Linked DNA regions of Drosophila melanogaster. The protein of the gene in region 1 interacts with the protein of each later gene in a pairwise test. Each region holds a gene or a part of one and is shown on either strand. Other genes may lie near its edges. The genes, in order: Ubc10 and CG12362.

Region 1 (15,752 bases):
GCTGCGTCCGGTGCCAGCGAGCCCAACGCCAGATCAGTCCACTTTTGCTCCTGTTCGAGTTCAGACCATAGAAGTATACAGATATGGCAATAAAATCCCAAATGTACTCACCTGCTCGCTGACCGTCAGGTGTGAATCACCGCCGTCCGCCTCTGGATCGGGTAGCTTTTCGCGTGGCACTAGAATCTGGTCGAAGGGTAGAACTTCCATGCGCCAAGCATTGTCTACAATGTCCAGCAGTAGATCATCGATCGGTGCCTGCGACAGGCAATAAAACACAGGTTATTATCTCGTTGAAAAAGAGAGAAAAGACAACGCCCCCGCAGCGTAATTACGTCACTCTGCGACAGTGCTTAAATATTGGAGACACGGTATTGCTCGCATATTTAGATTTAGCACAATGGGCGCATTGATAAGTACGACTAATTGCTGTGAAGCGATAATTTTGCCACACTCACAGGCGACGTAGTAGTAGTTACTATCTAACCACCGGACATCAACTAGCCGCAAGGGTACGTCCCGCTCGATTTGCCCACTTACCTGGCTGTCCATCACTTATGGAATAATTTAATCTGAGACTAGCCAGTCTTCACTTGCTTGCCAATTGTTTGCTTAGACTCTTTTTGAGTGTTTTTGTAAACAATTGGCGAATAATTCTGTTTTGTTTAACAAAACAGCTGTGTGGAGATGGGAGGTATGCGATTAATGGCGGCGATAGTAGTAATCGAAAGTGCCAATCGATGTGTACTCGATGTTCGCACTTTTTGAATTTGTTTGCTGTTTTATGCAAATAAATTGCTTAAACGACAACAAAATATGAAAACAACAAATATGTACTAACAGATACTTTATTTTTGGCAATTAGCTTAATGGTGAGATAATTGTATTTTCTGTGGTATGCTACTTATATAAGCAGCAATAATGAGTGCCTATGTTTATTTAAATTCAATTGTCCGTGGAATCGGGAAGACATATAAAAATGGTTCCATTTTTCCAAATTGTTATATTCCAAAATTTTTAGAAGAGTTTTCCCTCCTTTATTCCAGATCATGTCTGAAAAACAAGATTGCGTACGCCTCTACTTCGCAGCACATAATATTTATTCTTTTTATATCTCATAAATATTATATGGAGATAACTATTTCAAATTTAGAATCACATCTGCAAAAAACTAAAATGATTACTACAGTATAATTCGCTTAGCTGCATCGATAGTTAGCTGCATCGGCAAGATATCTGCATTATTTTTCCATTTTTTTGTGTGAATAGAAAATTTGTACGAAAATTCATACGTTTGCTGCATCGCAGATAACAGCCTTTTTAACTTAAGTGCATCATATCAGCTGTTTTTTTTTGCCAATTTCAATGAATATCATCAAAGTTAGCTGCGCCATCTATGAATCATTTTTGCATATCTAAAAGATGGCAAGAATGCCAACTCGTTTCAGTATCTGCGCATGTCCGTTTTTGTTTTTGCTTTGATCGTGATTTTTGTGTTTTTGTTTCTTATGACACAAAGTTATTAAAATGGGTAAAACAAAGCGTGTCGTTGGACTAACACTAAAGGAAAAGCTTCAAATAATCGAGTTAGTGACCAACAAAGTGGACAAAAAGGAAATTTGTGCCAAATTCAAATGCGACAGATCCACAGTCAACCGCATTTTACAAAAAACAAATGAAATTCATGAAGCTGTGGCCGCGTCAGGTTTAAAAAGAAAGCGTCAAAGAAAAGGAGACACCATTGCTGAAAAAGACAAACAATGCGTAGAAGTTGACATTGTATCGAATATTAATTGGAATGAATATGCCAATGTTGATGCAGATGAGGCTTGCCATGGTCAATTAGATGATGATGAAATCGTGCGCTCTTTAGTTCAAGATGCAAAAACCAGCGATAACGAAGAAAGCCATAGTGATGAAGATGTGGACGATACTGAGCGTCCTACTTTTAAGGATGGGTTTGCAGCAATTAAGGCTTTAAAGTCCATTTTTATGCGAAACAATAATGATGAGTTTTTGCAAAACTTGAATTCTATGGAAGACAAGCTGTTTAATTTACATATAAACTCAGCTGTATTGCAAAAAAAAATTACTGACTATTTTTAAGTTAGTTTTAAAAAGTGTTTTAATCAATTCACCATCACTTAAATTTATATGTCGATCTTACTTATCATTAAGAATGAAATTATCAGTTCCTTTTATGTTTAACATTGTTATAAAGAAATAAATTCTTTATTTTTCCTTAAAAAAAAAAAATTAAGTTAGCTGCATTTTTAAGTTACCTGCATCGAGGCATTGTGCAAAGTACTCGAGGCAGCTAAGCGAATTATACTGTATTAAAAGATATTTATTAAATAAAAATACTTCGTAAATTTACTGCTTTTGCTTATAACATTCGAAAAACGGTTTTTTAAAATGCAAAAACTGTTCCACATTTTGCGAATATTCCAATCGATAAATGTTTTAATATCCCTTCAGATATTTTATGATTATATATCTGCAAAAAAAAGAGATTACGATGGAGCTTAAAACTCCACTACTGTTCTGTTCGATCTCGCTGACTGTTCCATTGAACAACTGACTAGATGCAGCATAGCGCTCTTCAAAATCGCTTTTCAACGTCAGCTATGCCGACATCTTGCCAATTTACCAACGGAGTTGATATACGATCGATCCGACATGGACGAAACCCCAACCGTTTTGGTTCACAATTCACCGAAACATTCTCACTGGTCACAAATGCTCGTCTATTACTCGCTTGTTATCCAATGGCTTTTATCAATGAAAGGCTTGTTGTTTTGAAAAGCACTTAACAAGTTTTGTGTGCCTACATCGTACATATGTGTATACAGAATAATTCGCTTAGCTGCCTCGAGTACTTTGCACAATGCCTCGATGCAGGTAACTTAAAAATGCAGCTAACTTAATTTTTTTTTTTCTATTTTCTATTTTCTATTCACACAAAAAAATGGAAAAATAATGCAGATATCTTGCCGATGCAGCTAACTATCGATGCAGCTAAGCGAATTATACTGTATATGCTGCTGTTGGAATAGATGACGGGCTTGGAGCGCTGGACTCCCAGACGATGGCAAGTGTAATCCGTCAGCGGTGGAGACTAATTGGCAACTGATTCCGAAGCCGAGCGGCGAGCTCAGCACCACACCTCGGCAATTGAAGAAGTTTCAATTAGTTGGCATTTGACACTCACACATGGAGAATGAACGGGGATTGCGGTCCGTTGCCAGCTCACGCACACCGTCGCAGTGTGGGGGTGATACCTGTACCAGTACAGGCTTACCTGTGCATGGCGACAGGTAGCCAGCCCAGCCAATGGGGGAATAAAAAAGGGTGGAGGGCCGGAGACGTAGATACATGGAGCTGTGCCCGGCCAGGCTAAGCCGCTTTTTAGCGCAACGCCGTCTGCCCGGAATATTAATGAACTCCCTTTTGAGAAAAATATGAAATGAAATAAAATTTTGTGGCCAACAATAGCCGTGTCCACGTACCAGTCGTTGTCGTTTCGGAATTGGAATTTGTCGGTTCGCCATCGGGGGGCCCCAAAAATGCATTGGCCATGGCCACCATTCAACGCCAAACACGGCGCATGCGCAGCGATTGCTACTTCCGCTCGAAGCTATTGAAGATGTCCAAGGAGTACGAAGATACATACATAGATCTTGCCGGGACGATTAAGCCGAAGTAACTACAGAACTTTGTTGCTCCGTCGCTGTGAACCATTATCTATAGGCATTACATTACAGATATTTATGCGCGATTATACAAAACAGTCACGTGCCGGACTCTTCTATATACAAACTGGGCACAAATATACCGGCCTGGGTACTTACACCTATATGTACGTACACATATGCTACGACTGCTATTTGTATATGAGAGGGAGCTATGTGCATATATATATATATATATATATATATGTATATAAAGGCGGAGAACGTTACTCAAGACCGATGTCGAGTTCCAAGGGAAGAGTGATGCCCCTGCGGTAGCCAATGCGATCCTTTTTCTTTTGTCAGCATTGGAAACTCATAATTTGAATATCGTTATTATTATTCATAAAAACACGACTCACGTTTCAAATGGCCATAAAGTCGGCAAGGCATGCGCGTATTAAGTAAACCCATTGGCCACGATGGTCGATGCTGAAATTCCGAGACCCCAAGACATAACCACATTCCGATTGGGAGTGTAAGTTTATATGTATGTATATGTAACTTTCCGACAATTTCTCCAACTTCCGTACTTGGGCTATCCGCATCAATAAAATAAGATTTTAATGAAATATTAGTATGCACAATCGAATCACTAACGGATGATGACCAATAGTTTCGTAACCGCACACTTTGCAGGCACCTTATTTGTCGCCTGCCGTGCGCTTTCTAAATGGATAGTTCCATAGAATCAAAGAAATCAGTTTCCACGTTTCCACCATCGGGCATCTACGGGAAATGCCTTTGACGATCATCGCCGTCGAAGGTGGAAAGGAAGTTACATTTCTACAGGAGATAGCGATTTTGTTCTTTTGATAAAGGGAATTAGTCGAAAAATACCTAGAATTAAGAAACATTTTTAAAAGAAATATGCGGCAAAAAAAAAAAACAATTGCATTTAACATATTGGCTGAAGTTATTTTTCAACCTTTAACTTTTAAACAAGATGGAATTCTTGATGGCTTTTGTTCTTATTCCATTCATCTTCAGATACAAGCTATGGAAACGTCTAGCCAAATCTTCTGCATCTACGAATTAGCTATAATATTGCATTAGAGATATAAAATAATTATTCATTGCAGCCCGGAAAATCAATTTAAATTTGATAGCTTAATCGATAACGTTTGCGATTTTTAGTTACCGTCGCTAAGATTTAGGCGATGGATCGCTTTGAGCTTTTTCCATCTCTATTGTGTCGCAGATCGCTTTGTTTTTGACGCCTCGCATTTAAATTTAGCCGGAATGAGCTTTCGTTCGTCTCCGCAGGGAAAGCCACACCCAATGGTGAGTAAAGGATGCTACATCCTACAAGTCAGTCATTACATTTCACACTTTACAGACGGACTATCAGTCCATCCGGCCTTCCGAAGTGGAGCAGCTCTTCGAGAAGAAGTTCCACTATCAGAAGCCGAAAGGAAACAAATCCTGGCAGTTGCCGCCACCGGATCAGGCTCTCTTCAGTGAGTTCTACCAGTTCGAGGCGCTGCAGGGACTGCGCGAGCAGCTGAATGCGGTTAAAAGCAAACTCAATGACTATGGCGTGCAGGAATGGAGTGCTCACACCAACAGGCGTGACCCTTCTGGCGAGGTGTCCTGGCGCCTGAAAAACGACACGAAGGCCGAATTTGTAACTGTGGCATGGTGCAAGTTGTTCGAGTGCCTGCATCGTTATCCATTGGTCACGAAGCCGGCTGTCAACAGTATGCATCTCTGCGAGGCACCCGGTGCCTTCATAGCATCTCTGAATCATTACCTTCATAGCAAATATGAAAAGGATGAGGTGAGTTATCAAGTCATCCTTGAGAGATACGAGAACGGAACTCTTTTTTCCAGATTAAATGGCGCTGGCGCTCAACTACTTTGAATCCGTACTATGAAGGCAATGCTATAAACCAGATGATCAGCGATGACAGGTTCATCGTCCACACGCTGGACAACTGGTTCTTTCACAAAGATCTAACTGGAAATCTACTAGATGTGGCCAACATTGACCACCTGGTGGAACGTTGTGAGGTGGAGTTCCAGGGACAGGTGGATCTTGTCACTGCCGATGGTTCCATCGATTGTGCCGCACAGCCTGATTGCCAGGAAGAGATAGTGGTTCGCCTTTTCTTTGCTGAAGTACTCAGTGCCTTAAGAATTCTCTCAAGTGGCGGTAACTTCCTAGTGAAGATGTTTACCCTCTTCGAGGCTTGCAGTGTATCTCTACTTTATACACTCAATTGCATCTTTGAGGAGGTACACATCTTTAAGCCGGCTACTTCCAAGCGGGGAAATTCGGAAGTGTATGTTATCTGCCTGAACTACAACAAGGACCATCCCGACTTGCCTCGTTTGCTAGAGGAGATAAAGAGCAAGCTTGCTCAGCCGAATGACACATTGGTAATGCCACTGTTTGCCAAGTTCCAGATTCCCCACGACTTTCTCATGCAGCACGAGATCGCCTGCCGTATGTACATGAAGCTTCAAACGGATGCCATCGAGGGCAGTATCTATGCCTACGAGTCCAATGATCGTCATTATCTGAGACATCTTCATCACCTGCGCAGTCTTGTCGCGAACACCTACTACAGTCTATACAAAGTGAAGCCATTAGAAGATAGCCTGTGCATCGTGGACAAGGAGGCCACCAGTAAGGCTCTGGGATTCCAAGTGCCTGTCTATGGCGGTTCCTACACAGAAAGGGAGTCCTTGAAACACGGTGACCTTCTCAAGCAGATTTACTGCTTGCGTCGGGAATTTAATCAACTGGAGAAGTGTCTTAACAATAGAACACCGTATTCATACGTTAAGAACAGAACGGCACCCTTGAATCTTCACATTTCACGAGGAGCACCTGTTCAGAGCCTGCAAAGCAGCATGTTTGCCTCGGAACCAATACTCATTCTGCGCCTTCGCATCCTGGACACATTTGAACTCGACCCTGTCTGGCAGTCTGCGCCAAAGTGCCAGTTGGAAAGCAAGACACTATGCTACCTGCCACCAACAGAAGACGAGGCATTCCACACCGCCCAGCAGCGCTTTTTCATTGATCTCCTGGAAGAAGTAAAGAAATTGAAGCCCGACAGCATTGTCTTCCACAAGTTCCTGTTTCTCACCCATTACGCGGCGTCGCTGCTCTTATTTCTCATAGAGAGCGTTTATCAGGATTGTTGTTTTAATAGCAATCAAGCGCAAACTCTCACGTTGAGTAAGCTAAAAGATACGGCTAACAGTGCCTTGGAACAGGTGCTGGAACTTCTTAAGGACGAGCAGGCGGGGGCCATTCACAGCCTGCTGGACATTAAGGAGCTGCAGAAGAACCAGTTCAGCAAGGCCCTCATTCAGCACAACAACAGCATTGTAATGACCTGCTTCCGTAGCATGTTGGGCGAGGAATCATTTCCCATGCCCGTAGCTCCGACATCCAACTCAGATGTCGGTTCCATCCAAGAGTCGGCAGCTGTATTTTAACATAACGAACATGTATTTCTCACTTGCATCAAATTACAGTGCTACTTTTACAAAACTAGGTACTCTGCCGGGGAAATATCTGCTTAAATGTTTTCTGAGGATAGTTTTTCATGGATCAAGAATGAAAATTAAATAACTAACAGAAAAATCACAAGACTAAGGGGTAAGGGTACACATGGGTTGTGGACTGGCCCACCTCCTCCAGCTCTACCTCCGCCTATCCGCTAGTCGGCCGGACGTTTTTCGCTGTGCTTCTTGGTGTAGTCCTCGGCGTTTTTCACGAATTTTTTGCGATCCTTAAGAAACTCCTCGGCCAACTCCGCCCGCAGCGGATGCTCCGGCTCAGGGTCGTTGATTAAGTCCACCAGTGCCTGCACGACCTGGTCGGTGCGTGTGGCCGGTTTCCAGTTCTCCGTACTGATAATGGGCAAGCACACCTGGCCCTTCTCATCGATGTTTGGATGGTAGATGCGTGTCTTAAAGTTAATCTTGGGCGGCTTGAAAGGATACTCCGCCGGAAAGTTGATCTCGATGCGGAAGGCGCCCTTGTTGTACGGCGGATTGTCCGGGACAATCAATCCCGTCCAGCGCAGCAGGTTGTCATCGTCCGCCTTAATGTCCCGGAAGGACTTCAGTGCGTTGCCCTGCAAATCGCTCAATTCTTTTCGCAGGCGTCGCGGCGCAGTCATCGTGATGTCTATGTGTGGGTTCTCTTATGCTGGTGTGTGCGTAGGTGTGTGTGGAACGGAAAGAGGAGGGGGCCACCTTGCCAATGTGTGCGTGTGCACTTTTGTTTGCCCTTGTGTGAGCTGCAAATCGATGGTTTTGTCTTCCGGATATGTAATACTCTCGTTCAGCCGCCGGTGTTTCGTTGTTGGTGAGCTCCTAGTGCTCCAGTTGCGGGGTGTCACCTTTGGTTTTCGCACTGGCCCAAAAAAATCCGCACGTAAGTCTGCGAATTTCGCTGAAAATGGTTCGTTGAAGAATCTTCCAATTAGCGTTAGGGTATTTTGCAGACTTGCTCGCAACGGCGCTGCAATTGGTATACATATACATTGGTCATGTATAACTTTGTCTTGATTTTGCAACTTGCAACGGCTGTAATATTATGTTTAATACTAAATAAATCTTTATTGGAAAGTATTTATTATAGATGTATATTTTAAGAGAGGTAACAAATGAAAATAAAAGGGTTGCTGTTTCCAAATGGATTTGTAACCGATTACCAGCAGCAGTGGCGGCAAGCCAATCGATAGGCAACCGTTTCAGGCGATTCCCATCGCTATCGCTGACTGCAACACGTGCGCCGCGTTAGTTTTGTTTTTACCTCAAAATGACCAAAAAACTAGCTCTGAAACGCAGAGGAAAGGATTCGGAACCCACAAATGAAGTGGTGGCCAGTTCCGAGGCTTCCGAAAACGAGGAGGAGGAGGAGGTAAGACCCATTGACAGTGATATAAAAAGTCATTTCAAAATGACCTGCATGTGTGTTTGTGCTCTTTAAGGACCTGCTGCAAGCTGTAAAAGATCCCGGCGAAGATTCAACAGATGACGAGGGCATAGACCAGGAATACCACTCGGATTCCAGTGAGGAACTGCAGTTCGAGAGCGATGAGGAGGGCAACTACTTGGGCAGAAAGCAATCTTCATCAGCTGAGGAAGATGAAGAAAGTAGTGATGAAGAGGATAATGAAGAGGAGGAAAGCACTGATGGAGAGGAAGTGGAAGATGAGGAGAAGGATTCCAAGTCAAAGCAAACAGACGATAAGCCCAGTGGAAGCGGTGCCGCGTCTAAAAAAGCCCTTACAGCAGAGCTCCCGAAACGGGATAGCTCGAAGCCTGAGTATCAGGATTCAGATACCTCCGACGAGGAGGACATAAGAAATACTGTAGGCAACATACCCATGCACTGGTACGACGAATACAAGCACATCGGTTACGACTGGGATGCCAAGAAGATTATTAAACCACCACAAGGAGATCAAATTGATGAGTTCCTGCGTAAGATCGAGGACCCAGACTTTTGGCGTACCGTCAAGGATCCACTTACCGGTCAGGATGTGCGCCTAACAGACGAGGACATTGCTCTGATCAAGCGCATCGTTTCGGGTCGCATACCCAACAAGGATCACGAAGAGTATGAGCCCTGGATCGAATGGTTCACATCGGAGGTGGAAAAGATGCCCATCAAGAACGTACCCGACCACAAACGCTCTTTCCTGCCCTCAGTTTCCGAGAAAAAGCGCGTCTCTCGCATGGTGCACGCCCTCAAAATGGGCTGGATGAAGACCACTGAGGAAGTGGAACGCGAGAAGCAGGCCAAGCGCGGTCCCAAGTTCTACATGCTGTGGGAAACGGACACCAGTCGGGAACACATGCGCCGCATCCACGATCCAGTCTCTGCGCCCAAACGCGACCTTCCCGGTCATGCCGAGTCCTACAATCCACCGCCAGAGTATCTTTTCGATGCCAAGGAGACCAAGGAGTGGCTTAAACTAAAGGACGAGCCACACAAGCGCAAGCTGCACTTCATGCCACAGAAGTTCAAGTCGCTGAGGGAGGTGCCCGCATACTCGAGATACCTTCGGGAGCGTTTCCTTCGTTGCCTGGATCTTTACCTGTGTCCCCGTGCAAAGCGTGTCAAGCTGAACATCGATGCCGAGTACCTTATCCCCAAGTTGCCCTCGCCGCGTGACCTGCAACCCTTTCCCACGGTGGAGAGTATGGTTTACCGTGGCCACACCGATCTGGTGCGGTCTGTTAGTGTGGAGCCCAAGGGAGAGTACCTCGTCTCCGGTTCGGATGATAAAACCGTCAAGAGTAAGTACTAATTTAATTGACAACCTTTTAGATATCTTCTTACTAATCCATCTCACCTCACAGTTTGGGAAATTGCAACAGGTCGTTGCATTCGCACAATCGAGACCGACGAAGTGGTACGCTGTGTGGCTTGGTGTCCAAATCCCAAGCTGTCTATTATTGCGGTGGCCACTGGCAATCGCTTGCTGCTCGTCAATCCTAAAGTGGGCGATAAGGTGCTGGTGAAGAAGACCGACGATCTCTTGGCTGAGGCGCCCAGTCAGGATGTCATTGAAAGTGAACGCATCAAGACGGCGGTGCAATGGTCAAATGCGGAAGCTGATGAGCAGGAGAAGGGCGTCCGCGTAGTGATTACCCACTTCAAACCCATCCGACAGGTGACCTGGCACGGTCGTGGTGACTACTTGGCCACAGTGATGCCCGAAGGTGCTAACCGCTCGGCTTTAATTCATCAGTTGTCCAAGCGGCGCTCACAGATTCCATTCTCCAAGAGCAAGGGTCTCATCCAATTCGTGCTCTTCCATCCGGTGAAGCCCTGCTTCTTTGTGGCGGTAAGTGGGTTAATTTTCTTTTGTTAGTATGTCTTATTGAATTCTGTTTTTTCTTTACAGACGCAACACAACATTCGCATTTATGATCTGGTCAAACAAGAGCTTGTCAAGAAGCTGCTGACCAACTCCAAATGGATATCGGGCATGTCTATTCATCCCAAGGGCGACAATCTGCTGGTGTCCACCTATGACAAAAAGATGCTCTGGTTCGATTTGGATCTGTCCACAAAGCCCTACCAGACCATGCGACTCCATCGCAATGCAGTTCGCAGTGTTGCTTTCCATCTTCGATATCCGCTCTTTGCTTCCGGCAGCGATGACCAGGCTGTGATCGTCTCCCATGGCATGGTCTATAAGTAAGTGGCTATAAATCAACATTGCCCAAGGTTAATTACGAATTTCTCCAAACTTTTTTTTAGTGACCTGCTGCAAAACCCTTTGATTGTGCCTCTCAAGAAGCTGCAAACACACGAGAAACGCGATGAGTTTGGTGTGCTGGATGTTAACTGGCATCCGGTGCAGCCATGGGTCTTCTCCACGGGCGCGGACAGTACCATCCGACTATACACGTAATTTAGGTGTACAAACCCCAAGAAAGTTTCTTTTAGTTTCCGAAAGTTTTGTGAAATTTCAATAGTAAATAAAAAATATATTAATTTTTATGAAAAGTAAAGTATTTCATATAACCATTTCATTCGAACATTTTAAAAACAACGGTTTTCGAAATCAACGGGATCCCAAAATCAAAATGTAAGTGCAACCCTGCCGAAAGTTTATAAGTTCTGGCCCCAAAGCTTTGCGGTAAATTCCAGTGGGGCGAAGAGTCCCGAGCTTTATTCTCTTTTTCCGACTCGCGCACATGTCTTACCGTCCGTTCTCTCGCGCTCTCCGCCTGTCAGTCCCTCTCCTGTGTGTACCAGGAATTCTAACTGTATAGCAATTCCACAAAGCTTTTCGCTCAGTCCACCTATGGAGCCCTCCCCCGGCTGCCCACTTTCCACTCGCCGTTATCTTGCGTTCCTCGGGAGGAGCGCGCGCATTGGAAAATCAAAATCAAGAGCTGGCGACACGGCACTGCTTGGAAATCAGTCGCCTGCCTTTGCCCGAGCGGAGAGAATCTCGAAACGCTCGAATCGACCCGTCGAGGATTTTGGCTTCAGCTTCTGGGTGCTGCTGGTGCTGAGCAGCCAAAATCGCAGAGCGCAGAAATCGAATGGGAATTGGCTGCCATTGCGGGGGCACCGAGCACGAAGGAATATAATAAAATATGGCCGAGGGCGAAATGTGAAAATGTGAAAATGCCAGTCCAGGCAGTCCAGTGACCACGAAAATTGCAGTTTCCCCCAATTCGTATTCATACACACACACACATTCTCAACAGTCAACGAAAAAAATCGTAAAGAAATTCACAAAAAAAAAATCGAAGCACAAGCAAAACAATTTCGGGGCGAAAAAGAAAAATATATACAAATATACACATTTCGATTCCGATTCTAGTGGCAAAAATTCGTATGTACTCGTCGCTGCTCCTCAAAAACATACATACATACAAACGCGACCCCCTTTTCCCGCCCACCCATTCGCCCAAAAATCCTCAAAGAAAATATAAACGTGTGTGTGGTGTTTGAGTGAAAATCTGAACGGAAGCGCTGGTTCAACAACAAGAAAATAAAACAAAATATACATATAATATACATAGATAGCCAGGCTAAAGGCAATGGTCAACAAAAGAACCCAAGCAGCTGATTTGTGATAAGTGCAACGACCAAAAATCGCTGGCGTTTCGAGTTACAAACAAGTGCAATTAGCTGCTGATGCCTACATGTTGCAGCTGTTGCAGCAACATCAGCACAAGTGGAGAAAATCACGCATACGCCCCATCCGCCCAACGGGCCAAACAATGCGCTCCACTTAGCCAAGTTGCGTGTCAATGTGGTGGTACTCCAGCCCACCCCCTCCTCACGCACACACGCACAGACGCACGCACACAACGGCGCCTACATATATATGTACATATACAATGGCAGTGTAATGACTAGCACAAGAAATAAATAAAGGCCAGAACAACAACTACGGTGGCAGCTCCAGCTGCTCATAAATTTCGTAACGCTTGTGAAATGTGCCCCTTGGTGCACGGGGCCATTGAATCGCTAGATTTTCGCCCGTAAATCCGGAGCGGAATATGTAAATGCCACCCGCGCACCGTCAACTCTCTAAAGAAACGCTAGACCCCCTAGAAAAAAAAACGGAAACCAAACCCACGCGAAGGTTTGAAGTCAGGAACCTACGATAAGGATAACTACTACTCGAAAAGGTTATCGAAAAAATCTTGAAGAATTTCTGGAATTTTTCGGCTTGTAAAATCGCCCAAGGAAAAGCTAAGGAGAAGGAAAAAAAACATAAAACAAAACGAAAACTAAAATCAAGAGCAGCAGCTGTGGGCAGAGCGAGAAAGAGAGGACAGAGCGCCACAGGGAGAGAGAGAGAGAGAGAGAGAGTGTGTGGGAACTTTCGATAAAAAATTATTAGCAAAAACATAAATACGTAACGGTCTCCCTGCATACCCCACATCCCCAAGGAAGCCGAGAAAGAGAAGCCGAAGCAAAGAAAAGAGCACCAAAGCGAGCGGGTGAGTGGGTAGGTCAGTGGCAGTGGGCGGTCCGCCAGCTGGGGCAGCACCACCTCACCACCCAACACCCATCACCATCTCCACCTCCACCATCTCCGTCAGCTCCGCCAGCGTCAACCTCAACTTTCAAAGGGCAGGTAAGTGCACACGGAAAACGAGGCGAATCGGGAGCAGTTGGACCTACTCCTCCAGATTACACTTTCCCGAATATGTATTTATTATATTTTGATAGTTTTGGTAAATTAAATATACAAACAATCAATGTTTTAATAATTCAACAGTTTTCTTTACTATTTAATCTTTAATTTCATATAAAGTTTCTTTGTGATAAATGCAAAGAACAAATATTACAATTTTATTTAAAAGGTGTTTTGACTAGATTCAAATAACATATTTATGAATATAATGTTTATAATATAAATATAATATTTATAATAATATTTATAATATAATGAATCAGTTTCAGTATCTTTTGAATGACATCTTGTCAAATTAATGGGATCCAAACCAAAAAGACAAACACTCACCAGCCAAGACAATTAAGTAGTTAAGTTCCGGGCACCTTGGTTAACAATTCTTTCTAGATGACTAATAGAGCTATTTTTTGCAGTGTGACTGTGATTCGCCCAACTGTCAGCACACTTTCCCCCCACTCCATCCCGTGCACAGTGTTCATTAACGTTTCAATTTGTTCCTTTATTGCAGGTAGCGGCATGTCCTGCACCGTTTCCGAGCTGCCCAGTGGCTGTCGATTGCGCGGCATGACTGCATCCTCACAGCAAAGTGCCGCCAACAATAGTGGCAACAATGGGAATGGCAATGGGAACGGTGGCGGCGGGGGCGTCGTCGGAGGTGGCGGCAGCCTGGGCGGAGTATCGCCCACCGTGGGCGGCAGCGTGGGAATCCTCGGCTCCACGTCCAACGTGCTGCAGGAGTCGAACGCGACCACGTTTCAGCGTCCGCAGTCGCAGAAGCCTTGCTGCTTCTGCTGGTGCTGCTGCTGCTCCTGCTCCTGGTGAGTATGGAGGCCACCACCGAGTGGCCTATTTGTGCACCGCTCGAATCCTCTGACACGAAATCAATTTCTTTCTCGTTACCGCGCTGCCTTGACTCAACCGTTCGGTCATTAAAACAACTACCTGTGCCAATACCCATCCACTGCCAACCACATCCTGACAACAGGGCCAAATGGTAAGCACCTCCTGAAACACTCATGCATTCATACACCGAGAGAATCGATTGGTATTATTGGACTGTAAAGTATAGAATATTAAATGCGCAATTATTTTAAATACGTAATTATTTTACCTAGTTAGCTTTATTTTCAAGATATACTATAACAGATGAACCAATCTTTGGTTACATTAACATCGTTATTGTTAATTAATTTATTTATTTTTACTTATTTCAATATCAATTTTTTGCAAATTTTTTATTTTTTTATTTTATAAATCATTTCATTTTAAAGGTTGTCTGTTTGAGCCCTTTTTTTAAGAGAGTCGAAATATTATTAGTCCATGTTTCTCGCAGTGCTGTCATGGATGTGGCCACGGTTACAGCTATGGTTATTGCTTTGGCTTTAACTATTGCTTGGCTTTGGCTTTGGCTTCGGCTATGGCTGTGCCCACTGACATGGATATGGATATGGATATGGATAGGGAAGTTGAAATGGAAATGGACACGGTAAAGGTGGCCTTCTGCTGGCAGCTGGCAACGCTGCTGAACATCCAAAAGCTCTTTCTCTCTCCGCCATGCGAACTTTCTCCGCTTTCTCTCTTACGAAACGCTCTTTAGCACTGGTGCCGCTCTCTCAGTTTCTCCCGCATTCATTCACAATTCCGTGAGCAAGGCGACGGGCAGCGAAAAGCTCTCTGGAGGGCACTTTTCAAATCAAATATAAATAAGTATGTGGCGGCTCCTCCGCGGACTCCTCCAAGTGTTGCATGTTTTCGTGAATGAAAACGAAAGTCTTTTGCGACCCGCCGCCAACTCGCAACCCCCCGTCCGCACCTTTGTGTGCACAACTTGGGGGTATATCGCCCCGAAAACCCAGTTCAGAGCACCCGATGTCGCCTCAAACCCCCCCTGGCCGCATCTAATTTGATTCATATATGTATAGGGGTATATGTACGCCTGTGTGACTTTGATTAGGTATTGGGCCAGCGAGTCGCTCTGATAACTGTCGTCCAGATAAGAGAGCTTTATGTCAAGTTCGAGTACTCCGTTGCTCTGTCTCCGGGCTTCGAAACCCAAAACCGATATGCCATTAGCCTATCTACAGTGTTTATTCGAGGCATTATATCTTTATATCGCGTTCAGATATATGAGTAACTTTTAAACTCTCTAGCTTAAAATGTGGTAGAATCGCTTATGTTCAGTTTCTATGTTTGGTGCAAGTGTTTTATAAAATGCTAATCAGTAGCTTGCGCTATCTAAAAGTTTACGTTATCGAGCGGCTACTGTACTTACATATTTATGCTATTTTGTGCCAGTTAAAAATGAGTCAGGCTGAGCGCCAATTCAGCGATGAATAAAATTGTAGTATACTTTAAAGGGTGATTGATGAGT
Region 2 (16,552 bases), on another chromosome or scaffold:
ATAAAATGTCGCTTAATTAAATTGGCACGACCTTTTTCGATGGCGATTTTTTTTTTGTTTTTTGGCTGGGGAATGATGATGATGATACAAGTGATAAGCAGAAAAAACAGAAGCCACGGCAGCTGTAGCCCGAGGAATGCGTTTAATTTGTATGATGAGTTAAGTTAAAGTTACACTACATAAAGGGGTATAATTGAAAATGTAACGAATTTGAAGATATTTTATTTGCAAAGAAATGAATGCTATATAAAGTTATATAGCAGATTTTAAGATATTTTAAATATGTGAGTAACTGCTATATCATTTCGAAAAAAAAAAACAAAAAAGAAAGGTTTTGAATCCGATTCTAAATGCGTATTTATTTTAGTAATACTATATTTTGAATTACGCATACATTTGTATATAAAAAATTATAACATTTGTATATGTATTTTAAGCATTTCCTAATTTGAGAATTAATTAAATTCATATTTCTTCTGTGAATAGAGTATTCCTAAGTTCGATAACACGTTATTTCACAAAAGTCTCGCTTATTTACGCATCTGAGCTCCAATTCTCGCGCATCACAGAAATGTGACAGTTAGTTAGTGTCGAAAAGACCAACTATCTGCCCCTCACAAGTTGGCCAATTAAATTCAATTGAAGTTTTCTTTATTTTTTCAATTTTTTTTTTTTTGTTTTTTGTTTTTGTGGACCGCTGCTGGTGCCTACTGTTTATTTGTTTACTCTTTAACGCCTGCGCGCGTGCCTCAATTTAGTGGAAGTCCGAAGACTCTGGGCACTTTCAATGCATTTTGCCGCCACTTTTGGATGGGCGATAGGCAAATGAGTGTGCTAATAAAGTGGGGGGGCTTTTTCTCGCCGTGCACAAGCTGTGTGCCGCCTGTCAGCATATCAACGCAATTTGTGCACTCGGCAATAGACGAGACCGAGAAGCCAAGACGGCGGCAAATTATGGCCAACGATGCTCGGCGACTGCGCAAAGTGCCTCATAAATTCACGTCGCTGATGAAGTGATAGTGCAAGGAGTACAAGTTAGTCAAAAAAACAAAAAGTGGCCAAGAAGTCGCAGAGGCAGCCTTAGATTCAGATCCAACTATAGTCAAAGTTACACCGCAAAAAAAAAACTTAGAAACCAAGAAATAAGCCAGCCTTCGATTAATATAAACATAAACATTCATCACTTAATTCAAAAACAATTAAAAAAAAAAAAAAAAATTATTCCTATTCTAAATTTAGTCTTAAAAAAAGCTAAATTTGTACAAATATCATCTATACAATATAATTTTGTTTTCGGTGTCTCCTGCAAATTGTTTATTGCAAAGCTAATGCCTTCGCCGCAAAAAGCGGTACAAAAAGATACAATGCAACAACATTGTTGCTCAATGGTCCAACTAATGTGCCGCAGATAGGAAATAAAAGGGGAAGCCATTAGAAAGTGCAAAAACAAATTGGCTGCAATCGTGAATTACATAAAACGTCTTTCACCAGAGACAGGTGCTTCTTATATGAAAAAAAAAAAATTATGAACGGAAATTTGGTTTTTTTTTTTATAAGTGCATCAATTTTAAATAAAATAAATAAATATAAATATAGTAACGAATCAAGTTGCAGCTTAAATATTAAAGATAATACTAAGTGAACCAATAAAACATCCCATTCAAGTTGGTTCAAAACGCCATTATTGTTCTTAAACAAAGGTCAGCCAGCGCTTACTTCCTCATTCAGTTGATTGATTTATCCCGGCCATTGACACAGTTTTGCCGGTAATCTCAGTTGGCTTACAACACTTTCTGGCCCTGGTCCATTGTCATCCCGGCTGGCTATTAACCGACCTTCGACGGAGGCCAAGGACAATGGCAGGACGAAGGCGCGTAATTGAAAGTACGCGACCAAGTTGTAAAGCAGATGTAAGGACATCAAGTGTCTGCAGCTCGAAGTAGAAAGCGAAAAAAAAACAAAACTGAAGGAGAATTTGCCATAATAAAAATAGCTAACGCCCTGGCGGCGATTCAAGATTCAGTGAGATGCCATAAGCACAAAGGCAAACTGTAGATAAAAATTCAATAAGCCAGGCCAAGAGGCAAGGAGCAGGACATACCAACCAACCAACCAGGCAACCTACCGACCAAACGAACGACCGACCGACCAACCGAGACCGTTAAGCCTGAAGAAGGGGCAGAGTGTCTGCGGTTGGGATTTTGTGGCCAATAAATAAAATTAATACGAACGCACTTGAGCACAACTTGACCAGGGAGCAGGTCTCCAACGGAAGGACTACAGTGATTTTTTTTCTTCTTTTTTTCATTTTATTTTACTTTATTCCCCATCGTCATCTTTTCTTCATTCTCCGCTGTGTGTGTTTTGTTTGTTGACTTGTTGAATGAGCCGAAGTCCTAGGGCCAGGAACAGGCCAACTGTTGACTGCCACTTGCTGCCTTATGGCCAAGCCGATATGCTAGGTAAACAGAGATGAGGCCCAGAGCTTAAAGTTGGGCAGAGAAAAGAGAGAAGAAAAGCGGAAGTTGATAAAGAAAATTCGAGTAATTGAAAGCCATCTGAATATCTTTTTAAACTGCGTATGAATTTAAAATTTTTTGGTAAGTTATGTACCCAAGCTTAGTTTTATCATCATAAAGTTATTTGCTTACAATTTTATGCATACAAATGAAATTATCAATGACGAATTATCAATTCGTCTAGCTTAAAGTAACTTAACTTAATAAAGAAAACCACTTAAAAACTTTCACCTCGTTCTGAAATATTTACTGCCAATCACCGAAATACTCTAGGCGTTCCCACAATGCATTCATAAATTAGTCAATTCCAGGGTGCAACTTTGTGGCATCCGCAATGGTGCAATTCGAATGCTGACACGTTGATGACCCCGCAATTGAACTGCCATAAGAAATCACTCTGCCAGAGACAGTGGATTTTGTGATGTGGGGGCAGTTGGTGGGTGGATTTGGGAGGTTGCAAGGGGGTTAGCACTGCACCGCCCACTTTCAACACTTGCCACAACAATGGTGCGCAAATATTTACCAGCCAGTCGAAGCTGGAAAAAGGCAAAGGCATCGGATCAGCAGCTTGAGTCTCAGCCTCAATTTGAAATCCAATAAAATTTAATTGGAAACTTCATCACGGGTGCGAAAATTCACACTCTAAGCCAAGGCAGGCACGACTCGGCTGCCGTTTGCCGTAAATCTATTGGCCAAGGCTTTTCCAGTTGCCAGTTCCTAGCCCCCACAACTCCCACCCCCCCTACCACCACCAAACACTTCGATATATCCACACGTTTCGTTTTGCACCTGGCGGCGTTTCTCTTGGGGAAGCATCGCGATAAGGAAATATTTTTCATACGGTCGATCGGTTGGTCGGTGGGGTGTTCATTTCGTTCCATTCCGTTATTGGCCATGGCAATATATGGCTTATTTATGATTTTCCTCTTGCCATGCCATATCTCTCTGGTCCATTGTCGACATTAATCGCTTTGCTTCGCTGAAAAGTATAACATGAAATTGGGATTGATTTATGTTATAATTACAAAAGCCAGACGCATATTAGTGGTCCAAGAAGGAGAGAAGGTCCCGGGTAAGCCTACATACTGGCCAGCAGACCCAAGAAAAATCCCAGACCTGATCGATTTTGCAATTACTAAACATGTCCCCCGCAACATGGTCACCGCCGAAGCACTAGCAGATTTATCATCAGATCACTCACCTGTTTTTCTAAATATGCTAACTCGCCCCCACATCGTCGACCCACCGTATAGACTCACAAATTTTAGAACAAACTGGCCAAGGTATCAAAAGTATGTCTGTTCACACATAGAACTAACGACGGCATTATCTACAAAGGAGGATATAGACAAGTCAACGGAAACTCTTGAAAACATTTTAGTTTCGGCTGCAAAGGCTTCAACCCCGCCAGTGACGTATGCAAAACCAAACTACATCAAAACTAATCGCGAAATCGAGCGGCTGGTATTAGATAAACGACGCCTACGAAGGGATTGGCAGTCTAATAGATCACCAATTACTAAGCACATGCTTAAGATAGCCACACGCAGGCTTACCAATGCTCTCAAACAAGAGGAAAAAAACAGCCAACGTTCATATATCGAGCAACTCTCTCCCACCAGCACTAAGTACCCTCTTTGGAGAGCTCACAGAAACCTAAAGACTCCAATAGCGCCAATTATGCCACTACGAAGTCCCTCTGGCACCTGGTTTCGAAGTGATGAAGAAAGAGCCAGTGCTTTCGCTGACCATTTACAAAATGTATTCCGACCAAATCCCTCTACCAACACATTTATTCTCCCTCCTTTAATAGCAGCCAATCTAGATCCTCAAGAACCCTTTGAATTCCGACCATGTGAACTAGCAAAGGTTATCAAAGAGCAACTGAACCCAAGAAAATCGCCTGGCTACGACCTAATAACTCCAAGAATGCTCATTGAACTCCCAAAGTGTGCTATTCTTCACATCTGCCTGTTGTTCAACGCAATCGCCAAGCTTGGATACTTCCCTCAAAAATGGAAAAAGTCGACCATAGTAATGATTCCAAAGCCAGGAAAAGATAAAACGCAGCCATCATCATATAGACCGATAAGCTTACTAACATGTCTTTCAAAGCTGTTTGAAAAAATGCTACTCCTTCGGATTAGCCCTCATCTTAGAATAAACAACACACTTCCAACACATCAATTTGGCTTTAGAGAAAAACATGGAACCATCGAACAGGTCAACCGAATCACGTCAGAAATTCGTACTGCTTTTGAACATCGAGAATACTGCACAGCCATTTTTCTAGACGTCGCGCAGGCATTTGACAGAGTGTGGCTCGATGGACTTTTGTTTAAAATAATCAAGCTGTTGCCCCAAAACACACATAAGCTACTGAAGTCATACCTATATAACAGAGTGTTTGCAATAAGATGCGATACAAGCACTTCACGCGATTGCGCAATCGAAGCTGGAGTGCCGCAAGGCAGTGTACTGGGTCCAATCTTATACACCCTGTATACGGCGGATTTCCCCATAGACTACAATCTAACAACCTCCACGTTCGCTGATGATACCGCGATACTCAGTCGCTCGAAATGCCCAATAAAAGCCACGGCACTCCTATCCCGACACTTAACATCTGTAGAACGATGGCTTGCCGACTGGAGAATTTCAATAAATGTTCAAAAATGCAAGCAGGTTACCTTTACCTTAAACAAACAAACATGCCCACCACTGGTCTTGAATAACATATGCATTCCACAAGCCGACGAGGTAACATATCTGGGAGTTCATCTGGACAGGCGGCTCACTTGGCGCAAACATATAGAAGCCAAATCGAAACATCTTAAACTTAAAGCAAGGAACCTCCACTGGCTCATAAATGCTCGCTCTCCACTTAGTCTGGAGTTCAAAGCTCTTCTATACAACTCCGTCTTAAAACCTATCTGGACTTATGGCTCCGAGCTGTGGGGCAACGCATCCAGAAGTAACATAGACATTATTCAGCGAGCACAGTCAAGAATTCTGAGAATTATCACTGGAGCGCCGTGGTACCTTCGGAACGAAAACATACACAGAGACCTAAAAATCAAATTAGTAATCGAAGTAATAGCTGAGAAAAAAACGAAGTATAACGAAAAGCTGACCACCCATACAAATCCCCTCGCAAGAAAACTAATCCGAGTATGCAGTCAAAGCCGGCTGCACCGCAACGACCTCCCAGCCCAGCAATAAACTTATTAGGGCATTAATGAAAAAAAAAAAACTATCACTAAGTGAAAGTTAATTAAGTTAGATTAAGATTTGAACACTTATTGTTAGTCTCTTAACACAAAGGGAAGATTCAATAAATAATAAAAATTAAAAAAAAAAAAAAAAAAAAAAGAAGGAGAGCAAACAGTGGGGCTGGCGATATAACTAGATTGGATCTAAACTTGTCAGGAAATTGCACAAAAGTCTCAATGGTCTGATGAAAGCAAAATATTTCTGCAAAATTCTACACTAATTGAGTTTATTAGAGGACGCTACATTGTAATAGCACAATATTTAAACAAAAAATACAACCAACACATCCAATTTAAATGCAAGTACTCCACAATGCCTAAAGGTTGGTGTTTTCTTATTGTTTATATTTTTCTATTCCTGTATAAAAACTGTAAATTTTGAAAAATATTTATCCAGTGAACTGAAGTCAGTTCAACCCGAGTGAAAACCGAAAGATTTACTGTGTGCGTTTCTTATAAAGTCTTCAGTATTAATTTCCATTTTTGTTATGTTGTTCATCGAATACAGATGTCATTGGATTATACGATTTATGTAGTGGTCTCTTCTTTAAATTCCCACCAGTCATTTTCGTATCCCTCCCTCACATGGCAAAGGAGGACATGTCGTCGTTTTTGGCAATAGTGCGATAAGTCCAGAACCTTTTGTTTAACTTCATAGATATTCTTGACAGTGATCTCTCGCTCCAAGCACTCGGACAGCTTTTCTGTGGCCATTTCCATGTCCTTCTGATTATCCTCGAATATGATCTTCTGATTGTTGTTCATCAAATAAAATGCAAACACATAGCTGTACATCAGAGTGGTTCGACATTGGCATAAGACATCGACGGCATCACGCAGAAACTGAACCTCAATCCAGCTCATCTCCTCCTGCATGTCATCCATTTTGGCCTGAATATTGGAATATAATTTATTTTCCATTTTCAAACTTTGCATGTGGTTGCTATAACGATTGTAATAGTGCAGATATCGGGCCATTGAAGAGCGATATTTTTGCTGAGCCAATCTGGCCTGTTTCGCTTCCTCCTCGTCGAAGCGATTGCAACTGTACCAGGACGAACCATGTGGCTCCCAGGATCCAAGGCATACCCAGCAGAAATCATAACGGCAGGATGGATTCTTGCATACCATATGATTGCAACCACCATCCTTCTCGATGGTAACATTGCACTTGGGACACTCCTTCGTGTTCTGGGCAATCCAATTCGATGTCTCCGAGTCCTCAAGACATTTTTTCACCCACTTCTTGAGCGAACTGCAGCTGGCGGGTTCATGCCAATTTTCGCCACAAGCAAAGCAAAACTCATGCCCACATTTGCAAAGGACTGCTCGTGGTTCAGCACAAACGGCCTTGACGGCATGGCTGCAATTGGGGGCGGGGCACCATCGCATCAGCATGTTGCATTCCACAAACGTGTTGGTGATGAGCTGCTGATATCGCTCGACAACCTCTGAATCATCGGCAAGTTTCAGAAAGGATATATAATCCACCAGGATCTCGCAGTTGGCCGCTGGACATTTGATGGTATTGGCCAAGCCCTCGCTACACGTCTTATTGGCCAAATATTGTTTCCAGCAGGCGGCACAAAAGTTGTGACCACAGCCCAAACCTATGAGCTCATCGCAAGAACAAAAGCAAATGCCACAGAGCTGAGGTATGGCACAGGATGTAGACGCCGCAGACTCGCGTTCAATCTTCTTCTCAAAGGGATTCAACACATGGGCACGCTGAAAGAAGTCCTTCGGATTGCTCTCGAAATAATTTTCGAACAAGCTCTCTTTGTCCCATTTGAAGTGATTTAGGATAATACGCGTGACTTGCGGTGGCAAATTCAGGACATTATTCACCTCATCGATGATGTTACGCTGATGCTGAACAATCTGGTCCACCGAAAGGACCTTGTACACAAAGTCCTCCGTTTCGGGACTGTTGGAATTTTCCGGCAAAAGGATTTCCGTGCAGGTGTCCTCGCTGTCGCTGTCATTTTCGCAACTCATGTGAGTGAGAAGCGACCGATGCGAGTCACCGTGGTCCTCATCCGAGAATTCCATTTCGGAATTCATATTACCAGCATGTGGTTAGAATTTTTTTTGGAATTTATAACACCGGATCTAAAACATTTGATGTCTTTTATGGGCCTGATGGAATAGAGACTCATATAAACGGTACAAACACGACAGCAACAACGTTTTACAGACCACGAATCGTATTGGAGGCTATTGAACACTCTCGATGTAAAGAATTAATTTTTTCTTGTGTTTTTCTTCTTTTTTCTACTGAAGACTAAACCTACTTAGTTAGTAATTGTCAAGATTTCCCTTTGCGAAAAAGACACACGCAAATAAATTGTACGATATGGCAGCATTTAAGGATTGCCGTTTTCGATTCAAATTATCTGGTAAGTTTGTACAACCATGTAAGCACCAGTGCTGTAAAATTTTGAAGTCTTGGGACCAACCGCTATTAGAATGGCTACATAAACTGCTTTCCACCAAAAATATGTCTGCAATATTTGGAAAACGAGATTCACCAGTGTTGTGTTGGTAGTTAAAAACATATAAAAAAATGTTTGAAAAATTTTATAAGACTTATAGCAAAAACACTGAAAGTAGAATTTTATGTGAATTTTAGTTGCTATGCGGCTTTAGGCATCGAGCATTTTTAGTTTTGAGTTGAGAGCACATCGAAATGCACTTGGCCTGCGCTTTTAACGCGTTCTCACATGCACACTAAAAGCTTTTCGGGATATATGTTTTTTCATAACCCTTTCGTGGCATAAAACAGAACAAAGCAATGTCTCAAGTGGCAAGGGTAAGGCACGTAAATAAAAACGAGGAATAAAATCCGGGAAAAAACCCCATGCACACATATATACGATATGCGAAATGAAAGTGAAGTGAGCGCAGGATAATGGCGACCAGAGCGGGACGGAAGGCCAAAATGAGTGAGAGAGAGAGAGAGCGATCTGGAGTAAGGGTAATGAGTGTGCATAATGCAGATGCAGATGCAGGATCCCCGTCCAGGATCCCAGGAGCAGACCAATCCAGCCCATCTCCAGCACTCATTGAACAAGCGGGCTCAATCTGCCATGCCAAGATGCACTTGGGTAGTAGTACACTGGAAGAAAATTGAGAGTAACATTTATTTTTTTTTGCAATTAAAATATTAAATTTATCATTATTCGAAACTTTGTAAGTAAAATAATTATAATTAAAATAGGCGTATTTAATGCAAAATAAATTTGTCACTAAAATGGTTAATATATTATGATTCTAAAATACTTGCCTTGAAAAAAACATTTATCTAGTTAAGTCAATGCTTATTTCGTCCAAACTGCTTTATTTCATTAATTTTTTCTTTGAGTGCTGAATTTTGTTTACGTGAGTATATGCATTTACAGAGGAGAAGCACACATAGTGGTCATGCCTTTATTTCTTGCTCTCCCCTCCCTTTTTTGTGTTATACTTTTTATTTAAAACAAAGCCGCACAACAACCCGCCAAAAACAGTAGCCCGTTCCAGAATGCAAAAAAAAAAAAAAAAAACAGAAAAGCGAAAAGAGCTGGCAAAAATCATTACAAATAAAAATGCCAAGTCGCCAAAACAGCAAAGGCAGCCCACAAAATCCCTTTCATCAGTTCGTGTGGTTGGAGATCCACATTCTCGCCCCTTTTTTTTCATTCATCCAGCATCTTTTCAAGTCACAGCCAAATTACAAGAAATCCTTTCGTGCGCGTGAATGCTTTGGTGGAAAATGCGGAAAAGGAAATAATTTGACCATTTGCTGGTGCAAAAGAAGCAGGGATAACAAAAAAAAAAAAGGAGCGAACGAAGGCGGTTGCCAGCAAATGGGCGTGGCCAGTGTCATATGTGCAAAATTTGAAGAATTTTCCCCATCTACCCACGATGCAAATGCAATCGCAACATAGATGCGCCACTTGTTGGCCACGACGCTTTATCGTTGCCAATCGCGTTGCGAGAGGCCGAGAGAAATGGCCAACTGCAATGATGATGGTCAACAGCGATGGCCCTGTGACGTGACCACGCCAAAAAGACCAAGAACCACATGCCTGCCCCCGATGATGATGCCAAATAGCTGATAGGCAAAGCCAACAATCCCGGCCAACAGGCATTTTTCTGCGCCTACTTACAGTTTTCCACTACGAAAAACTAATGATAAGATTCAAGTGAAGATACAAATTCAATGTAAACAATTTAGCATACAAAACAAAAAACCAAAGCTCAATTCAAATCTTTTAAAAGTTGCTGTTATTTTCTCTAAATTTCGTACATTTAAGTTATCTATATTTTTCAACGTGTACTTAATGTTCCTGCAACTATTTGCTGCGAAATATTCTTGGGAAATATTTTCTCCAGCTCGGCAAACGGTTTCTCTGGCCAAAAAGGATGTTCGCTTCGAAATTCATGTAAATTAGCCAGGTAATTACAAGCTTTATTTCAGCGGCAAACGGATGTATGCTGATCGCAGCGATAAATGCGTTCGCCCGCTTCTCGCATTATAATTACTCTCTTTTCTGGGTATTGTGTAGTCGATTTGAAAAGCAAAAATTAGCTGGAAATCAACGAGCATGAAGCGCCGACACTGTTGGAAGAAAATCAACGCTCGGAACTAATTTGATTTTGATGCGACGGGGGCCCCCAAAAGAGAAATGATATATGTACGAGTTTGTACGAGTATAGGAAAGAATGTTAGCATTTTTTTTTTTGTATTTCTGTTTAAAGCCTGGCTCTCGATTCATAATCAAGTCGCGGTGAGGCATGAGTTATTACATTAACGGTTGGCATGGACAGCTGAATTTATGTTTTCTCTGCGCTATTGATTGACCTTGAGTAGCGGTTTAACAGTAGCTGCCCGGCGATGAATTCGTATATAATTAAAATCAAAAAATTAATTTCAAGTTTCGAGTGTGTCAGAGATTTATGTGAAATTTCGTTTTGGTCTAGAGTCTAGACTTTTAAATTCGTTTTAAGTGCGATCCGGGTGATCATTCATCAAGTGGTTGGTTGGAAAAATGGGTTACGGGAACAGCACATTTATCACAGTACCTTGGTGAAGATGAATCTTAAATATTCAATTTTTTTTTATTATATTTAATCATTTCTGCAGGTCTTTATTTTTTGTGTTAACTTGACATTCGCAAATGTCACTGCACAGACAGCTCTTTTAACTCTTCATCAAAGAAAAAGCAGTGCCAAAAATTTGCTTTGAAAACGATTGTGTTCTATTGCAACCCTAGGGCATATCCTTTATCATAATCCCACCCTCACATATTTTGCGCAAATACTTCCAATCAAAAGGTTGTGCGAAAAAAGGAACAACAAAAAAAAATGTAGCCTTGTGACAGAATACTTGGGTGCGAAGAAAAGTGAAAGTGCTCCCCCTTTTACACATTCAACCCCCGAAAAGTGAAAGAAATCAGCAGAGGAAAAACTTTTTTCCACCACATGTGTGGACTCGTACGTGCTGCTGTCTCTTCATCGTTTGGCGGCATTTCGCCTTTGAAATTGAAGCATTTCCGCCATCTTTTCTGGCTGGTATGGTATTTTTCGCCAACGAAGAAAGTGCGTTAAGAAGGAAAACTACGCCACTTCAAAGTGGCAGTTTAGTTAGTAAGTTTGCCACCAAGAAGGCAAATCACTGGGCTCAGACTTCAAAGCGGGTTTTGCATTTCGTCCGCCAATATTCTCGCGCTTTTGCGGCTTCTTTTCGTTGGTTTTGTGAACAAAAAAAAAAAAAAAAAAAAAAAAACCCCATCCACTTAGTGACATAGAGAACGTTGCCTTTGGTTTTGAAAAACTTTTTTGACGGCCGGCTGTATATGCAGGTATATGATTCAGAAAAAGGACTCTCTGGCCAGTGAAAGTCCTGCTGCGGAATTTCGCGTGTTCAGTTGACATTTAGTAGAGTTGACGGGTTCACACTCGTCTAAGTGGGGGGCGTTACTGGTTTTTATACCATTCTAATGGGAACTCAGGGGTGGATTGGTTGTAATTAAAGCGTATTACTTAGTGCTGTACTGGGGGCATTTGAATTAAATTGAAATTTATTGTAAGCAAATATAAATAAGTAAACTAAATAAACTTGCAACAAATTATCAAAGTGAGTGACTATACGCACCTACACTGTTATTTTAAAACAGTTTTCTAAAAAATTGATTTCATTTTAAATTTGTATGGTCACAACTATGTTTCCAGTATCCTTTCATACCTCATATTATGTTTCGATTATCTGGTTGGCCTTTAATTGTTTGATTCGCTCCTATCAGATTTTCTTTGTTTTTTCTCCGCATTTTTTGGTTTTGCTTGGACCGCGACAGTCTGGCACGTCTTGGTAATATCTTCGTGTTTTTGTGCGACTGTGTTTTCTAATGCACGTCACGTGACAAAATTGTATAATTTCCAAAACGGGCAGCGGGCCGCACGTCGCCCATTGCCATTGTGACATTTCCGGTTAATTTGGCGCCAGCTCAGCCGGGTTCCAGTCTCGTTCGTACCCCATCTCGCCCAATCCCAATCCCAATCCCGCCTTTTGGCCCTCCTTCATCTGAGTGAAGCCAAAGGGGGGGAATGCCACATTTTTTGACACTTGGCCAAGCAAAAATCACAGCGCAGGAAACATTTCCTTTCCCTTTTCTGGCCAAATCGCAATTACCTTTCCCTCTGGTTAACGTTAACGTTAACTCCGCTGCGCTCGCTCGGCAACGTAATCGTAACTTACTTTTCCTTTCATTTTGTGGCCGCCGGCGGACGGGACGGACAATGCAAAGATCAATGCCAGTCGTAGTCAGAAATTAGTAAGTGCAACTAAGGCGAACTAAAACGAGGGCGCCCACTCAATCTGCCTACCCCCCCTACCCCCCCAATCCAATCACCATCCCCTGGCCATCGCACTCAGTCTTTGGAGCAGCAGCCATGCCATGAGTAACTGACATTAATTCAAATTGTTAATTCATGCCTGTCACGCTTTGGTACAGCGGTGTCCCCACAATATTTCCTAGCCCGGCTCTAATGCACTGTGAAAATCGTAGGTTCACCGCAAATCAATTTAGAGCGCATCGTAACTGTCACTTGCTAACAACACAAGTATATGTATTAACAACATTCATTATGTTCCTTGAACTTGTGGTTTATGTTACTTTATGTTTACAAATTGATTAATTTAATGTCTAAATTATATGCCAGGGTAGAATTTATTACTTTATTATTTTTTAACGCTTTTATTTGAGTAATTTTGTCAATATTCTAATTGCCATTCCTTCGCCCAGTGCAGCATTCGAGTCTCTGTGTGGTGATTGTGTTGACGTCTACTTGGCCGGCTGTTGTTATTGCTGCTAATCCAGATCAGTGACCAGTTCCACTTAGTAAATACAATGCAGCAGTGGGTGCTTTTGCTGCCTGCGTTTGCGTGTGCTCCAACGGCAGTGAGAAATACCTCTAAAACCGCCAGAACCACCAGAACCACTAGAACCACTAGCACCACCCATTAGCGATAGACGGCCAAGACGTTAATTGAATTATGCGACTTCAACTTAATTACGAACGTGGTCCTCCCAATCACACCCCTTGGCACATTTCATTCTCAATGGGAAATGAAACGCAATCATTTGAAGTTTCTGTCTGTTCCAGCTTTTTATTCAATTTAAATATTATTTTTATTTTTTTTTTTTTTTGTGTTTTTGTTGCAGTACTCGAGCGCAGCGTTCTCGAGTACAAAATGAAAGTTGTTTTTAGAAGTTGTTTCTGGTTTATGGTTCTGATTTAGCTGTGATCTCTGTGGCTGGCACCACTTGGCTCTTGGCTTGGTATTTTGGCCAACTGACGTCATAGCCTGTCCACCACTTATTGGTATACCATTTGTATTTTTTTGTTTCACTTTATATTTATTTCTATATGCAGGCCATGCAATTTATATGCATGGCCTGACTTCTCTCTCTGTGCAGTATATTTTTTTTTCACCAGCATTTTTTAATAACATTTTCAAATGCCATGGCATTTATTACCATACTTTGCCATATTTTTTTCTTTTCTTTTTTGCGCTTACTCTTTTATAACTCTATAAAGCGCAATCAGAAATATTTATATAGCAGTCGGCAGCTGGCAAAAAAAAAAAAAAAACACGTTAACTATGCCATTGCTTAGATACTTAGATACAGGCACTTATAAAGTCGTAACAATGGCAACAACTCAATTGTGAATGAAACTGATACAGTTGTAATGACTGCCACAAAGGTGTGGAATACAGTTGCTGGATGTGTGATTTCAGTTCCGTAGCATTGTTATTATTTATTGAAAATATGCTCAAATATTAACCATTTTGGTTTCAGATAAATACTGCACTTCATTTGCGTGCAATTAAATTCAGATGTGCGTCCTTAAGCTTTATTGCATTTTATTCACGGATTTCCAGCCGCCACTTGAGCATAATTATTATGCAATATCCCCCAGAAGTCCTTTGTTTCAACCCCTTGGGCTAATTAGCAACGAACATCATTCGCACGAACACAAAAAATGCAATCAATGAAGAAAATGCATGAACACTTGAGCGAAAAAGCCACGGAGCCAGGACGAAGAAAAAAGGAAGCGAAGAAAAAACCCTTGAACAAATAAATGCATACGAGCTCCGTGCAGACGGGGCTAAATGAAGTGTAGGCTCAAGTAAGATGAAAATAAAAATTGCAGCAAAGAAGGTACAAACGGGGGGTAGAAACAAAAAAAAAAAAAAAGAAAATAGATGGAAAGCCAACAAAAAGGATAACTCGGCTGGCAGGCAGGCAGGATTCTGAGAGGTGCACTTGAAAATGGAATTTATGCTTCATGCATGATACATCATCATCATCATCATCAACATCGTCATCTCGTCATCACTCCACTGGCATTTTGGTAATGGAATCGTACGCACCAGCTACCAGAACTCCAGTGTTCCATCCTCATTGTGCTCGTCATTGTCGTTTGCGTTGTCCTCTCGTACTCGTCCTGGTCCTCTGATGATTGTCGTGATATATCCCATCCAGGATGGCTGACTGAGGGTCCATAAGTGTTGCTACGTGCTCAAAAGCGTTTCATATTAATACGTATACGTATACCAGCATGTTCTATGGCGGCTGTGTAAGCAATCAAGTCATGTGATCCCTCTATTTGAGCGAGAGGGTAGAAAGTGACTTCACTACAACACATGCTCTTCATATCAGCAGCATGTATATATTGTATATATGAGGTATACGACCCGTACTCCGCAAATCCACAATTCTGTCAACGGCAGGACATCATCAACATCATCTTGGCCAGGCCAAGCCAAGCCAAGCCAGGCCAGCAGCCAGGCTATGCATTCATTGCATATTCATATGCTCGGCACAAGTTTGTTGACTTTTCATTTTGCCTGGCGCTGAATTGTTTACATTTAGCGCTTGGCGTGCTCAAAACAAAACGCCATTCGTCGGCATCCACGGCGTATGAATAATTTAGTGAGTCATTAAAACTCAGCTGCAAACGTCATCGCATCTCAGTGGCAGTCGCAGCAACACAGCGGCAGTCCCATCATTCTTCGCCTTGTTATGACACTTTTCACTTTTCGCCAGCTTTGCAATTAATATATATGTATGTATATACATATATGGCCAACATCTAACTCGCCTTACCCCTTTTGTTTTTCATCTACTCATATTGCACTCAAATATTTTCACTAATTGCAATTGACTTTCCGTAAATTTAATGACTGCCCACGCAATATAAATGACTAAGATGATTTATAATTCAGCCTTTAGTTTTAATGGTAGCTTGCCGATTTTAAATTATAAATCAATTTTCAATAAAAACGCAAGAAAACATATAAAGTTATTTGGTTTTAAAAAGTATTATTTTAACTTTGGGAACGGTCCATAATATGAGCATATAAAAAGGCAACGTAAAAATATAAAAAGTCTCTAAAAACCGGGCAGTTTAAAAGGCATTGGTAAAGTTAATAATTTATCTGCTTTAAATTTATGTCGATCTTAAATTTAATAACTATTGATTTTAAAAAACATTAAAGTACACGTAAAAAATAAAAAATTAATATCATAAAAATATAAATTGCTTACTTAAGTTACACAACATTTTTATTAATAATAATCTATAAACAATATTGTACGCATTGATTTCCAGGTAGAAAATATATTCTTAATTTCAAAACGGTTTTAATGTTTGAAGAGGATTGGTTAATGATGTCAGTAAAGGTTATTATATTATCACTGATTTATGGCATAGGAACAAATGATATATTGAAGATGATTGGATTTAAATAATGTTATTTTTTTAATACTGGAAAATAAGTATATATAATATCGATTTAAGTGAATCGGTTGCTCATAATTAATGTACGACAATTAATTCCCACACAACATAAAATAAAAATACAAATGCACAACTCATTGTAATGTTATTATAAATCCATAAATCGATTCCTTGTTCAGTTATTGCAAATCTTCGATTGAGCATTTAATATTCCCCCGCAGTGCTGGCTGTCTGTTCAAATTTTGGGCTATCAAAGTCCGACCTGTCCACCGCACTCCTACTACTCCTTTGGAAAACCCACTCCCCATGGAGGTTACCTAAGTCAGCACAAATTGCTGCTATAGCCAGACGATGACTACTACTACGTGATGATGATGATCATAATGATGATGAGGACAAGGTGTTGCTTTTGTTAGAAAATTTCATTATTTTGGCTTAAGCCGACAAACACACACTCACACACACTGGTGC

Evidence for each region.
Region 2: the proteins of Ubc10 (region 1) and CG12362 interact in a two-hybrid assay, tested with the Drosophila melanogaster proteins (one large-scale study listed by BioGRID).

The regions. Positions count from the first base shown.
Region 1 is NT_033778.4:17,781,230-17,796,981, forward strand, and holds Ubc10 (ubiquitin conjugating enzyme 10), read right to left. Parts: upstream 8,182-15,752; 5' UTR 7,874-8,181; coding exon 7,409-7,873; 3' UTR 7,185-7,408; downstream 1-7,184. Other genes in the region: CG33981 (uncharacterized protein), read right to left, coding at 1-50, 112-258, 541-552; aft (adrift), read left to right, coding at 4,974-5,015, 5,071-5,511, 5,565-7,184; CG5033 (uncharacterized protein), read left to right, coding at 8,518-8,619, 8,690-10,004, 10,068-10,555, 10,616-10,911, 10,975-11,128; Dhit (double hit), read left to right, coding at 13,898-14,199, 14,367-14,375.
Region 2 is NT_037436.4:10,404,340-10,420,891, reverse strand, and holds CG12362 (uncharacterized protein), read right to left. Parts: upstream 8,075-16,552; 5' UTR 7,856-8,074; coding exon 6,320-7,855; 3' UTR 6,118-6,319; downstream 1-6,117.